Linked DNA regions of Drosophila melanogaster. The protein of the gene in region 1 interacts with the protein of each later gene in a pairwise test. Each region holds a gene or a part of one and is shown in the gene's direction. Other genes may lie near its edges.

Region 1 (5,666 bases):
CCAGGGCTAACTCAGGTAGGTGATAAGGAGGAACTACCATTGCGGACGTATGGTATTTCATGGAATGCAGTTTGACCACCCAAATTAGTGCTATAAAGGAGGCTGTATTCGCAATTGAAAACATGTAACTGAATAGCTAATTCAAATGCAAAAGATATACGCAAAATTTTGCGTAAGGTGTACTACCATGAAAAAATTGAAAAAAAAAGTGCGTAGCAAAACTTTTTCACTAGCTTAGTTTCAGAATCGCTGAAGTGAAAACTGACTATATATATCATACTTCTTATGATATATATATATATACTTATATGATATATCATACTTCTATTGTTTAAAATGATATATATTGTATCAATAAAATTAAATTTCATATGGTTTTAAGTAGACAGTAAAGTGAAATTGACTATAACCTCGACAGAATAGTACTTATTTTAAGTATTACGCCTTTTTACATTTCAAATCGAATTATTTGAAAGAATTAAGTATCGGCGGTCACCCTGTATTTGCAGTGCTATTGCTTTGCTTTCATCTACATACATACATCAGTGCATAGGCACTTGCGTATTATTAATCAGCCGCCCCGTCCACACCGCCCACTGCTCTTTTGTTAATGCATTCGCACAAGGACGATGACACCCACTCAATAATGGACCAGTAAAAGAGAATTGCAGAAAAAGAGAGTTGAAAATTAGGTATAGAAAGGTCGAAAGTTAGCAGGGTAATGCAAAATCCCCCAAAATCACAAAAACTGCCTGCATTTCAACAAAAACAATAACGTAAATACGTAGCATTCGCTGGCAATCAATGCCAAAATGGCTTAAGAGAGCCACCTTAGAGAGGGGCACCCACTCAACGCAAGCGAAGAGAGCACAGGCGAAACAAAGAGCGTAGTCAGAGCAGCACTCACCTTCTTGCGAAGTTTCCCCCGAATGTGACACAGGCGTTTGACGCCATCAAAGCACATTGCCTCCAGACGACCGTTGCCCAGCATCTTGGTCACCTGCGCGTACTCCTGTTGGTCCTCCTTGAAGATCAGCTCACGCTTCTCGAACTCGTTCTCGTTCTTACCACGACGACGATTCTTGCCTCCTTTTCCTTTATTCTTGGGCATTTTGGCTGTTTGCTGTTGTTGCTGTGCAGCTACTTTCGATGTTGTTGCTGTCTGCGGGCTTGTTGGCGACCCTGGAGCGGGAACGGGGTAAAACTGTTACTCAACGACTTCACTGGGTGGGTAGTAATGCAATGAAAACATTCAACCCGAAATAAAGCGACAGAGTTGTTTCAAAACTTACAATTTTGTCAAATGTAAATGTGACAATTTCGCCTCGCTAAAGTGAAAAGGACTAGAGGTGGACGGTTTCGCGGGGAACCAGTATATCGAACTGGTGCTATCGACAGCAATGCAGAGTCTGGCAGCATTCGTTTAAAGTATCGTAATTTAAAATTTCACTCAACTTTTTAGTCATTAGCGATTGAATCTTAAATTATAACATGTACAAATTTTATTTTCTACTTTGTATATTTAAGTTATTTCGCTATCACCATAAGAGGAAGAAATCGATTTACCACCGCTAAAGCTATCGATATCTATCATCATCAGCTATCATTAGTGGTACTCCCATCTGGTTTGTTTATAAGCTTTTTTACGAAAATAAATTGAGGCGGAGGAGACCGAAGTTTTTCCACTTGGCCAAGATGCACCAGGCCTACAGTGTTCACTCGATCCTGAAACAGGGCGTGCAGATAGAGTCAATTGCGGCATATGGTGAGTGGAATTTTCGGTGCACAGCTATTACTCACCGGACGCATTTTTTCAGGCAACCATGTCATCTTGGGCACCCGCAGCGGACAGCTGATCATGTACTCTGTGGACGAGGAGACGGGCGTGGACATGCGGATGTTCAACAAGAACTTCAGCCGGAAACCGATCACCCAAATGGAAGTGATTGCCTCGGAGAACCTGCTCTTCGTACTCACCGACTTACAGGTGCAGGTGTGCGACATTCGGCGGATTGAGAGCAACTTCGCTTTCATGCACAGTGCGCCCGACACGAAGGGATGCACCCTGTTCACCATGGACGTGGACACGCCGAAGTCCACAACCGGACGTGTGGCCACCGTCATACGGGTGTGCTGCGCTATCCGGCGGCGTCTTGTGTTCTTCTTTTGGAAGGAGGACAAGCTTAATTCCCTGGAATTGATCATCGAGCTCAGCGATGTGCCCAGGACACTGTGCTGGGTGGGCCATGCTGTCTGCGTGGGCTTCAAAGACGAATATGTTGTTTACGATGTGAGAAATGCTTTAAAGTCGATTTACTTCGTATTTTAAAGGTCTGCATATCCAATTCTAGATATCAGGAAAAGCACCAAAGAAGCACAACCTCTTCCTTACCTCCTCTAGTATCAGCAGAGATCCCTGCATTTGCCTTATCCGGAACAACATGTTGGGCATCTCTAAGGACAGCTACCTCGTCGTAGTAGATCCGAGTCAGTACAAAGAATCGGATGGAATCAATAACTCAACAGATGTCCGGCCAGCTGCCATGGACAGCAATAGTTCCCTAACTCCTCTGCTCTGGTCAAGTCCGCTTTTAGATCTGGGTACGATACTCACTATTCACTTCAAGCCAATTTCTAAATCACATTATCTTCATTACAGTCTGGGATGAGCCATTCGCTGTGGGTCGTGTCAACAACGCCATCGAGGTGCGCAGCCTAGTGGGCAAGGACACCCTGGTCCAGACCATTCCCGAGCTACAGAAGACGAAATTCCTGGTTCACGCCGACAAGGGAACCATCTTTGCCGCCGCCACCTCCGAGCTTTGGTGCATTCGAATGGTGGAAATCCCTATCCAGCGTCAGCAGTTGCTACAGCAAAAGAAATTCCAACTGGCTATTGAGCTGACGGTGAGTCCGATAAACGAAATCAAAATACGACGACTACAACAAACTTTATGTTCAGCAAATCTCCGATGAACCTGCCGCGGACCGAGCCCAAACCATTCGCCAGATACACATGCTCTATGCGAAAGAGCTGTTTACCAATAAGGAGTTCTCGGCGGCCATGAAGGAGTTTGAAAAGGCGGCTATAGATCCCTACGATGTGATAAGACTGTTCCCAAACTTGGTGCCAGAACCAAAGCCCGGCACCGAAGATGTCACCGTGCCTACGTCCAGTACTCCGGCGCTTGAGGATAGCGACCTGGAGAACGCCTACTTGGCACTGATCGAGTATCTGGCATGGGCCCGACAGCGGGAGGTGGTCAAGCTGCGCGACACTAAAAGTAGTTCAAAGTCCCTGCTGGAGATCATCGATACAACGTTGCTGAAGTGTTACCTGCAGACAAACGACTCTCTGGTGGCACCACTGCTACGCCTAAACCAGTGCCACTTAGAGGAGTCGGAAAAGACGTTGAAGAAGCACAACAAGATCTCTGAACTTATCATCCTCTACCAGATGAAGGGCAAGCACAAGGAGGCCCTTAAACTGCTTCGAGAGCAGGCGAGCATCGAAGGATCTGTGCTGCAGGGTCGCAAGCGTACCATACGCTATCTTCAGGAGCTGGGTGGTGATCATCTGCCGCTGATCTTTGAGTTCGCTGACTGGGTCTTAAACGATAATCCCGAGGAAGGCCTAACCATTTTCACCGACGAACTTATTGAAGTGGAATCCCTGCCGCGCGCCAAAGTTCTTGATTTTTTTATTAGCAAGCACAAAGCACTTGTCATTCCCTATTTGGAGCACGTAATCACTGAATGGAAGGACGGCAACACCCTGCTCCACAATGTGCTCCTCAAGCAGTATCGCGAAAAGGTGCAACGGCTTCTTGCTCAGCAGGAAAAAGGGTGAGAGTCTGTCATTGTACTGGATCAAAATGCTTATACTCACCTGTTTTCTAGAGAGGAAGTTCCCGAACTCATTCCGATGCGAGCCAAGCTCTACAAGATGTTGGAGGAGTCCAACGACTATTCGCCGGATCGCCTCCTAGAGGAATTTCCAACCAATATACTCTTGGAGGAGCGTGCCCTAATCCTGGGCAGGCTCAAAAAGCACGACAACGTCCTGTCCATCTATATTCATGTTCTCGGAGATGTGGCCAAGGCAACGGCCTATGCGGAAGCCCATTACAAAGAGGACAAGCACATATTTCACACGCTCATTAAGTGCATATTAATACCACCAACTCAACCGCTCTATGATGGTGTGCCCTTGCATCCGGATTTCTCGCAAGTGAATCGAGAGGTGGCCCTGGAAATACTTAACACCCACGCCACCAGAATCGATCCATTCGAGATCTTCGAGGTGAAGAATGCATTGAATGCATGACTTATTAGAAATATTTCTCAACCATTTTGGATTTTGCAGCACCTTCCCGATGACATGCCCATGCCCCAGCTGGAGAAATACTTGGAGAAATCTATACGTAAAATGATGGCCGACAAGCACGAGATGCAGATGATGTGCGGCTTCCTGGAGGCAGAGTCCACGCGCCTGGAGAATGCCTTGGAGGAGCAGCGAAACATTAGCTTCGAGTTAAACGAGTCTAGTGTGTGTTCCGAGTGCAAGAAGCGTTTTCAAACCCAGTCCGCCTTCGTGCGCTATCCAAATGGGCACATCGTGCACCTATCCTGCCACGATCGGCTCGCCAGGGCGGCTGCTCAGCAATAAGTGAAATACTCCAATGTGATAACTGATCAAGGTATAAAGTGCGAATTGAGTGTAAATGTCTGTATTATTCTGTTTTTAAATAAGCTTTTTCAGTACTCGTATGTAATGGATATACTGCAATGCTTATACAATATAATATAGTTTGCATTGATTGATTGTAACAATCAACTTGCAGCTAATCATCAACAATTAAAGACAAGCAGAAGTATAGAAAACCGATATTGTACATATTTATTTGACTATATTTACAGGAAACTTGCTTTGCACTGGCGTGGTTTTTAGGCCTCCTCGCTGCCGTCCATGAGGCTGTCGCCGTCCAGGGAATCGTTACAGATGGACAAATCCGACTCGGACTGCGCTCGACTCAACGGCGGTAATGCGCCCGAAAGCGACAGCGAGTGCTTGCTATCCTCGTTGTCCTCCTCCTGCAGGCTGGGCGAGGCTGCACTGCATCCGTTTGTGCGTTCCGTGGACACAGAATGGGCCGCATTGGCCGACACGGATACTTGATTGCCCAATAACGATGTACCTGGCAGTTGAGTTTGCCTTATCAATGCCAGCCGTTGTTGTGTCAGTTCCAAGTGGTGCTTGCGCCACTTGATCCGCCTATTCTGGAACCACACCTTCACCTGAGCCTCCGTTAACTTTAGGGTGTGTGCCAAGTAGAGCCGCTCCGGGCCGACCATGTACTGCTGGCGCTCGAACTCCGCCTCCAGGCACTCCAACTGCTCCGGCGTGAAGATTGTCCGGACGCGCTTGTTCTTCAGTGCGCTCTTCTTGTGAGAATCTGCCGAATCACAAAATGATGATCAAATGGAGGTATTAGATGTGCACACACTATGTTTACTTAATACCCACTTATGATCAAATCATGGGTTATTCATCGACTGAAACACCTGCTTACCCGACTTGAGTTTTTCCCGCTGAAAGCTCAGGGTGGCCTGCTGCTGAGCGTGGTGTTGCTGGTGGAGCTGCTGCAGGCTCTGCAGGGCGGAGG
Region 2 (5,145 bases), on another chromosome or scaffold:
ATTGCAATTTCTGTTGTGTATATAGTAATTTTGTATAGTAAAGTTCACGTTTTAGTCACGTACAGCTGTGTTGGTGTTTTGGCTGCCAGTAGTCAAGGGAATTTAGTTTAGTTTACGGGGATTTGACGTGGAATCAGCCACGAGAAGGTCGTGTGCCTACATATAATTTATTAAAATAAGGAGTTAAACATAATCGTAATATAACTTGCGAAATAATTGCTGACTTAGGATCAGATGGGGCGAGCGGGTTTGAGGGGGTCTGCCCTTGTTACTTAGTTATCGTTATGTAGCTCTATGTGTATCTGACATCTAAACTACATACAAGATCTGCATTAGAGTCGGGTCCGCGTGGAATCGTTTCCCTGTCAGGGTGAGCCAACCCAACTTGCAAGCTATTGGTAAATATAAATAGATGTATGTTGAATGAGTGTTTCATGCGAGTCTGACTAATCTGGGCGGGCTCCTAAGCCTCGCTTTCGCCAGGGGCCGCGTTTTCACCCACGTTGATGGGCACGATCAGATTCTCCTTCGACATCAGATTATATTTTGTGACGAAATGCGTGAAACGGTGGCACAGATACGTCTCGGCCTCGAATTCGTCGAAAATGCGACGATGGTGAAAGTAGGCGTGCGAGAAGATGCGATACACCCGCCGACATACGGAGCCCAGCTTGGTTACCGACGACTCCTTGATGGACACCCTGGGAGAGACACTTTGCTTATTATGTGGCTAGTTCAACCATGTCGCTAAGCCTGCATACCTGCTAGGGAAGTACTTGTTGCTGTTTAGCAGACAGGCGGCACCGTCCAGCGTGTGGCGTGTGTAGTCAATGGCCGGACATTCCTTGGGCGTCTTGTGCGCGGCGCACAGGAATATCCACTGGTCAGTGGCTGTCATCTGGGTGCACGTCGACGGCGAGCACTCCTTCTGCAGCCGCACTGCCAGGCCGTTCAGCTCCATGCAGAACTGGCGCAGGTGCTCGTACTTCCACACGCCCTCATCCTGGGCTTCGGGCATGGTCAGTATGAGTTCCACGTTGCTCGGGTCGCGCTTAATCAGCTGCTGTATGTACTGCTGCACCGCCAGCGTGCTGTCCATCTCCTCCAGGGGCTCGTCGGGCCAGCGACAGAAGTCCTGAAAGGCGAAACGGAAAACGGGTCAGACGGGCCGGGCCGGGATCGTTGTTCGGACGCCATGTCATCGCTCACCTTGGATTTTGTGCCTGGCCGGTTCCTACGCAATATGGTCGAGCCGTCAGCCATCTTCATGTTTCACCCGCTCGAAGACGCGATGATCCACAACGTCTGTGCCTACGCCTTGATGAGAAAATCACTGGCAGAAACTGAATGCTAGCCTGGTCCCTGCCCCGCGGGAGTCTCCGGATGTGGGATCCCTGCACCGTAGTATGCTGAGTGTATTCTACAGGAGCTGGCACATCGCTTGACAATTAATTGGCGTTTATCCTCCAAAACACTTTGCTTTGTGCGAGAAAATTTCTGACAAATTCTACATACATACATATACCTATCGATTGGCCAGCGGCAGTGCGCATCGTTATCGATAGGGCGATTGCAGCCTTGCGGTATTTCGGTATTTCCGCCAGCCCTGGCCACAAAGTGGCCACACTGTCGCTAGCCAGTCATCATAAATACGAACAGATTGGAAAACGTACAAGAATTGCGTATTATCTGTGGCATTACGAGATCGTACTTTCTAAAAACTAGCTTACCGTAACCCCCGTCAGCTTAAAACATGTCCTACGCGTACTTGTTCAAATACATCATTATCGGAGACACAGGTGAGTGCAAGCTGCGACTTCCTTTGAAACGGAATGGCCAGTGAAAAGTTGGCCATTGTCAGGGAAACAATCTGTAATTGCAAACAACACAACAAAACAAAGGGCATCGCAGGCGTAGGGGTCGTACCCGAAAATCAAAAAATGGGGGTTTCAGGTGGTCTCAAGTGAAAAATTGATACCGTGAGATCAAAATTGCGTCGGCAGGAAAATATTCCTGGAGTCGGTGGGCCGAAGGAAAAATCAATAATACCATAACAACGCATACAGGCGTTTGCTGCTCTCAGAGTTAGTGGTGCGCGGGGAGCAGCCCACACATAAACCCTGCTGCTGACTCACCCAACCACCCCCAGTAATTGAGGGATTCCGCCCCAAAGAGCCACGGGCTTATCAGCACTCTGCTTTTCGGGATGTCCAACAGCTGTTGGCATTTTCCAGCCTGTCCCACCTTTTCCCCGCTCGCCCACTAACCCTTTTCCGTTTCCGCAGGCGTGGGCAAGTCCTGTCTGCTGCTCCAGTTCACGGACAAGCGATTCCAGCCGGTGCACGACCTGACCATTGGCGTGGAGTTCGGAGCACGCATGATCACCATCGACGGCAAGCAGATCAAGCTTCAAATCTGGGACACGGCTGGGCAGGAGGCTTTCAGGTACCCACTTCTGTTCATTTAGTGTTAATACTTAAGAAGGGATAAGTGAAAGCTCAGATTACTTCCAAAATTGAACTGAATAAATTTTTGCAAATTTCGTATCCAAAACCCCAAGTCCAAGGCGGATAATAATTCGGCTCGTTTTTTATATTAAATAAAATAATTTGAATAAAATTCTTACTTAATGATCCAAAATAATAATAATATATATATATAGAGCCTTTAGTAAAAAGGCTTAATAATTTGTATTCAAAAAATTTTATTTGCTTCATTTCGGCACATTGTTGATAGATGTTTATTTAAAAAAGTTTTAATTCTATCATTTTTAATTTTTTGTGATATAAATTTTTTATACTTTACTTAAAATTAAATAGAAGTCGTCAGACAGAAATTTAATGGGTTACTAATAATTAAATAATATAAGCACTGTCATTTATATAACTGTATTGTGACGCAAAATATTTCTTGAATAGATCTATCACACGCTCTTATTACCGCGGAGCTGCTGGCGCCTTGCTGGTGTACGACATCACGCGACGGGAGACCTTCAACCACCTGACCACCTGGCTGGAGGATGCGCGTCAGCACTCGAACTCGAACATGGTCATTATGCTGATAGGCAACAAGAGCGATTTGGATTCGCGGCGTGAGGTGAAGAAAGAGGAGGGCGAGGCCTTCGCCCGCGAGCACGGACTGGTCTTCATGGAGACTTCTGCGCGCACAGCTGCCAACGTAGAGGAGGCGTTCATAAATACGGCCAAAGAGATTTACGAGAAGATCCAGGAAGGTGTCTTCGACATCAACAATGAGGTAAGAAGGATACATTTAACTTAGAAACTTCTTGCCACTACATTATTATCTCGTTACTAGGCAAACGGCATTAAGATCGGCCAACAGCACTCCCCCACAAACCCGTCGCTCCCAGGAGCCGGAGGAGCAGCTGGAGCAGCAAACAGTGGCTGCTGCTAGGAGTAAACCGCAGATGCCCGATTGCAATTCTGGGATAGGCGCAGCCGCTTCTGTAAAAGCTACTTTAGTGACTAACTAATAGAAGGTAGTTGAAGGAACAGATTTCTTGTTTTCTATCTCAACCGTAACTAACCACGTAAACATAGCTACCACTAATCTAGCAATTGGACACTAAGCTAAATGTTAAAACCATTAAGATCAGACAGTTACAAGAAACACATCTCCTTGTTCAGCTACGTTTTATTTTACCAAAAAAAACCAAAAGGAAGAAGTAACCAGAAATAAACCAAAACAAACCACATTTGTGTACGTGAATGTCGTGCGTGATTTCTAAATTTTATAAAGTTTATTGAAACATTTTTAAATGTTTTATGCATGTATTTTGTGTATATTGAAGTTAGTTTGCTAGTTACTTCGTGTAAAATCGATAGTTATACATTGGGATTTTGACAAAATGATGTGTAATATATGAACAAAAATCAAACTGTGTGAATTTTCATTGTGATTCGATTTCAGTGAGGTCCAGCTTCGCAACGCTGCGCCACGCCCCCTTTTGCAATGGGTATCTGCTCCGCTTCTCTATACACACATACATAATTAAATATATTAATATGTTTACGTTTCCTTCTCAACGCATTTGCTTTGTCTATTTTGTTGTGCAATCCGCTTAGTCTTTATACATACACTAGAAAAAAAGTACTTTAACAAAATATACAAAACGTGAGGGCCGAAATGGGGTTATATAATTTACACAATCAACATGCATTAACCAGTGGTAACACGAAATGCTGCGATTCAATGATCAATTTAGTATTTTACGAAGTTTATATATTTAATTAACGGCGATTGCTAAGACAAAACGAAAGATACAACTGTAAACGTAAATCAAATTATTTATAATATTTGTATTTGCCCAACACAATGCGGAATAATAAATATACATACTTACTATTAATATAATTATATAAATTAAATCGGTACTTACCTTGGGTTCATTAGCGTTTAATCAAGTGATAGTTAACGACTAATTAGTTTTTTGGTGTCTAGATGAGAAGTAAAACACTAAGGCAAATTTAATGAGGCATTTAAAGTTGTAAACAACTCAACTTTTAAATGAAAAGAGGTCAGACAAATAATTACGCATTAGTGTAGTTTTAACCCTTTTTATTTAGTAAGAGGCTTTCGGTAGATAATTGTTGAATTAATGTCTTGTAAATATTATTAAATGGTGAATCCTTTTTTGTTTATGTACATATTTCCTAAAGTGTTCGGAATTAACAATTTCCACTTTCTATGTCGGCTATAGGGATATAGTGTCGCATTTACTTAATTTTTTTAAATGTGCTTACATGTTAAAACATTTTTTTACTACTGAAATATACTATTTAGAAATATTTTTGTATTTTTTTTTAATAATACTTGAACTTTTAAGATATTACATAGGTTTGTTTCTTATTTTCTGAATCTTATCTGTGTTTTGTCTAAGAAAAAGTTTGCCAAACTGCAAAAACAAGTTTTTCGCTTCAACATTAACTATTTTTTATACCCTAATTTGCTCAGTTGGTTTTTTTTAATTGGAAACTATTCGGATCCGTGACGTTTGATGTACAAACAAATGCTCCAAAGATTTTATTGTGAGTTTTAGATTGATTGAAAATGGTCACTTGTTATTGCATACGTTACATAGATTGTTGTTTATTGTATTCCCTTTAATTAATATTCGTACGAAAT

Evidence for each region.
Region 2: the proteins of Vps39 (region 1) and Rab2 interact in a two-hybrid assay, tested with the Drosophila melanogaster proteins (2 studies listed by BioGRID).

What each region holds. Positions count from the first base shown.
Region 1 is NT_033777.3:18,270,383-18,276,048, reverse strand, and holds Vps39 (vacuolar protein sorting 39), read left to right. Parts: upstream 1-1,602; 5' UTR 1,603-1,695; coding exon 1,696-1,765; intron 1,766-1,817; coding exon 1,818-2,290; intron 2,291-2,351; coding exon 2,352-2,601; intron 2,602-2,659; coding exon 2,660-2,907; intron 2,908-2,962; coding exon 2,963-3,846; intron 3,847-3,900; coding exon 3,901-4,303; intron 4,304-4,366; coding exon 4,367-4,669; 3' UTR 4,670-4,860; downstream 4,861-5,666. Other genes in the region: eIF1A (eukaryotic translation initiation factor 1A), read right to left, coding at 908-1,111; CG18599 (uncharacterized protein), read right to left, coding at 4,948-5,456, 5,574-5,666. UniProt on the Drosophila melanogaster protein: Part of the homotypic fusion and vacuole protein sorting (HOPS) tethering complex involved in endo-lysosomal vesicle trafficking and lysosome biogenesis.
Region 2 is NT_033778.4:6,695,131-6,700,275, forward strand, and holds Rab2 (Rab2), read left to right. Parts: upstream 1-1,608; 5' UTR 1,609-1,753; coding exon 1,754-1,799; intron 1,800-2,285; coding exon 2,286-2,445; intron 2,446-2,918; coding exon 2,919-3,255; intron 3,256-3,315; coding exon 3,316-3,414; 3' UTR 3,415-4,339; downstream 4,340-5,145. Other genes in the region: Mob4 (MOB kinase activator 4), read right to left, coding at 464-713, 762-1,135, 1,210-1,269. UniProt on the Drosophila melanogaster protein: May be involved in bidirectional endoplasmic reticulum (ER) to Golgi trafficking. Together with Rab7 involved in promoting fusion of autophagosomes and endosomes with lysosomes, probably through recruitment of the HOPS tethering complex.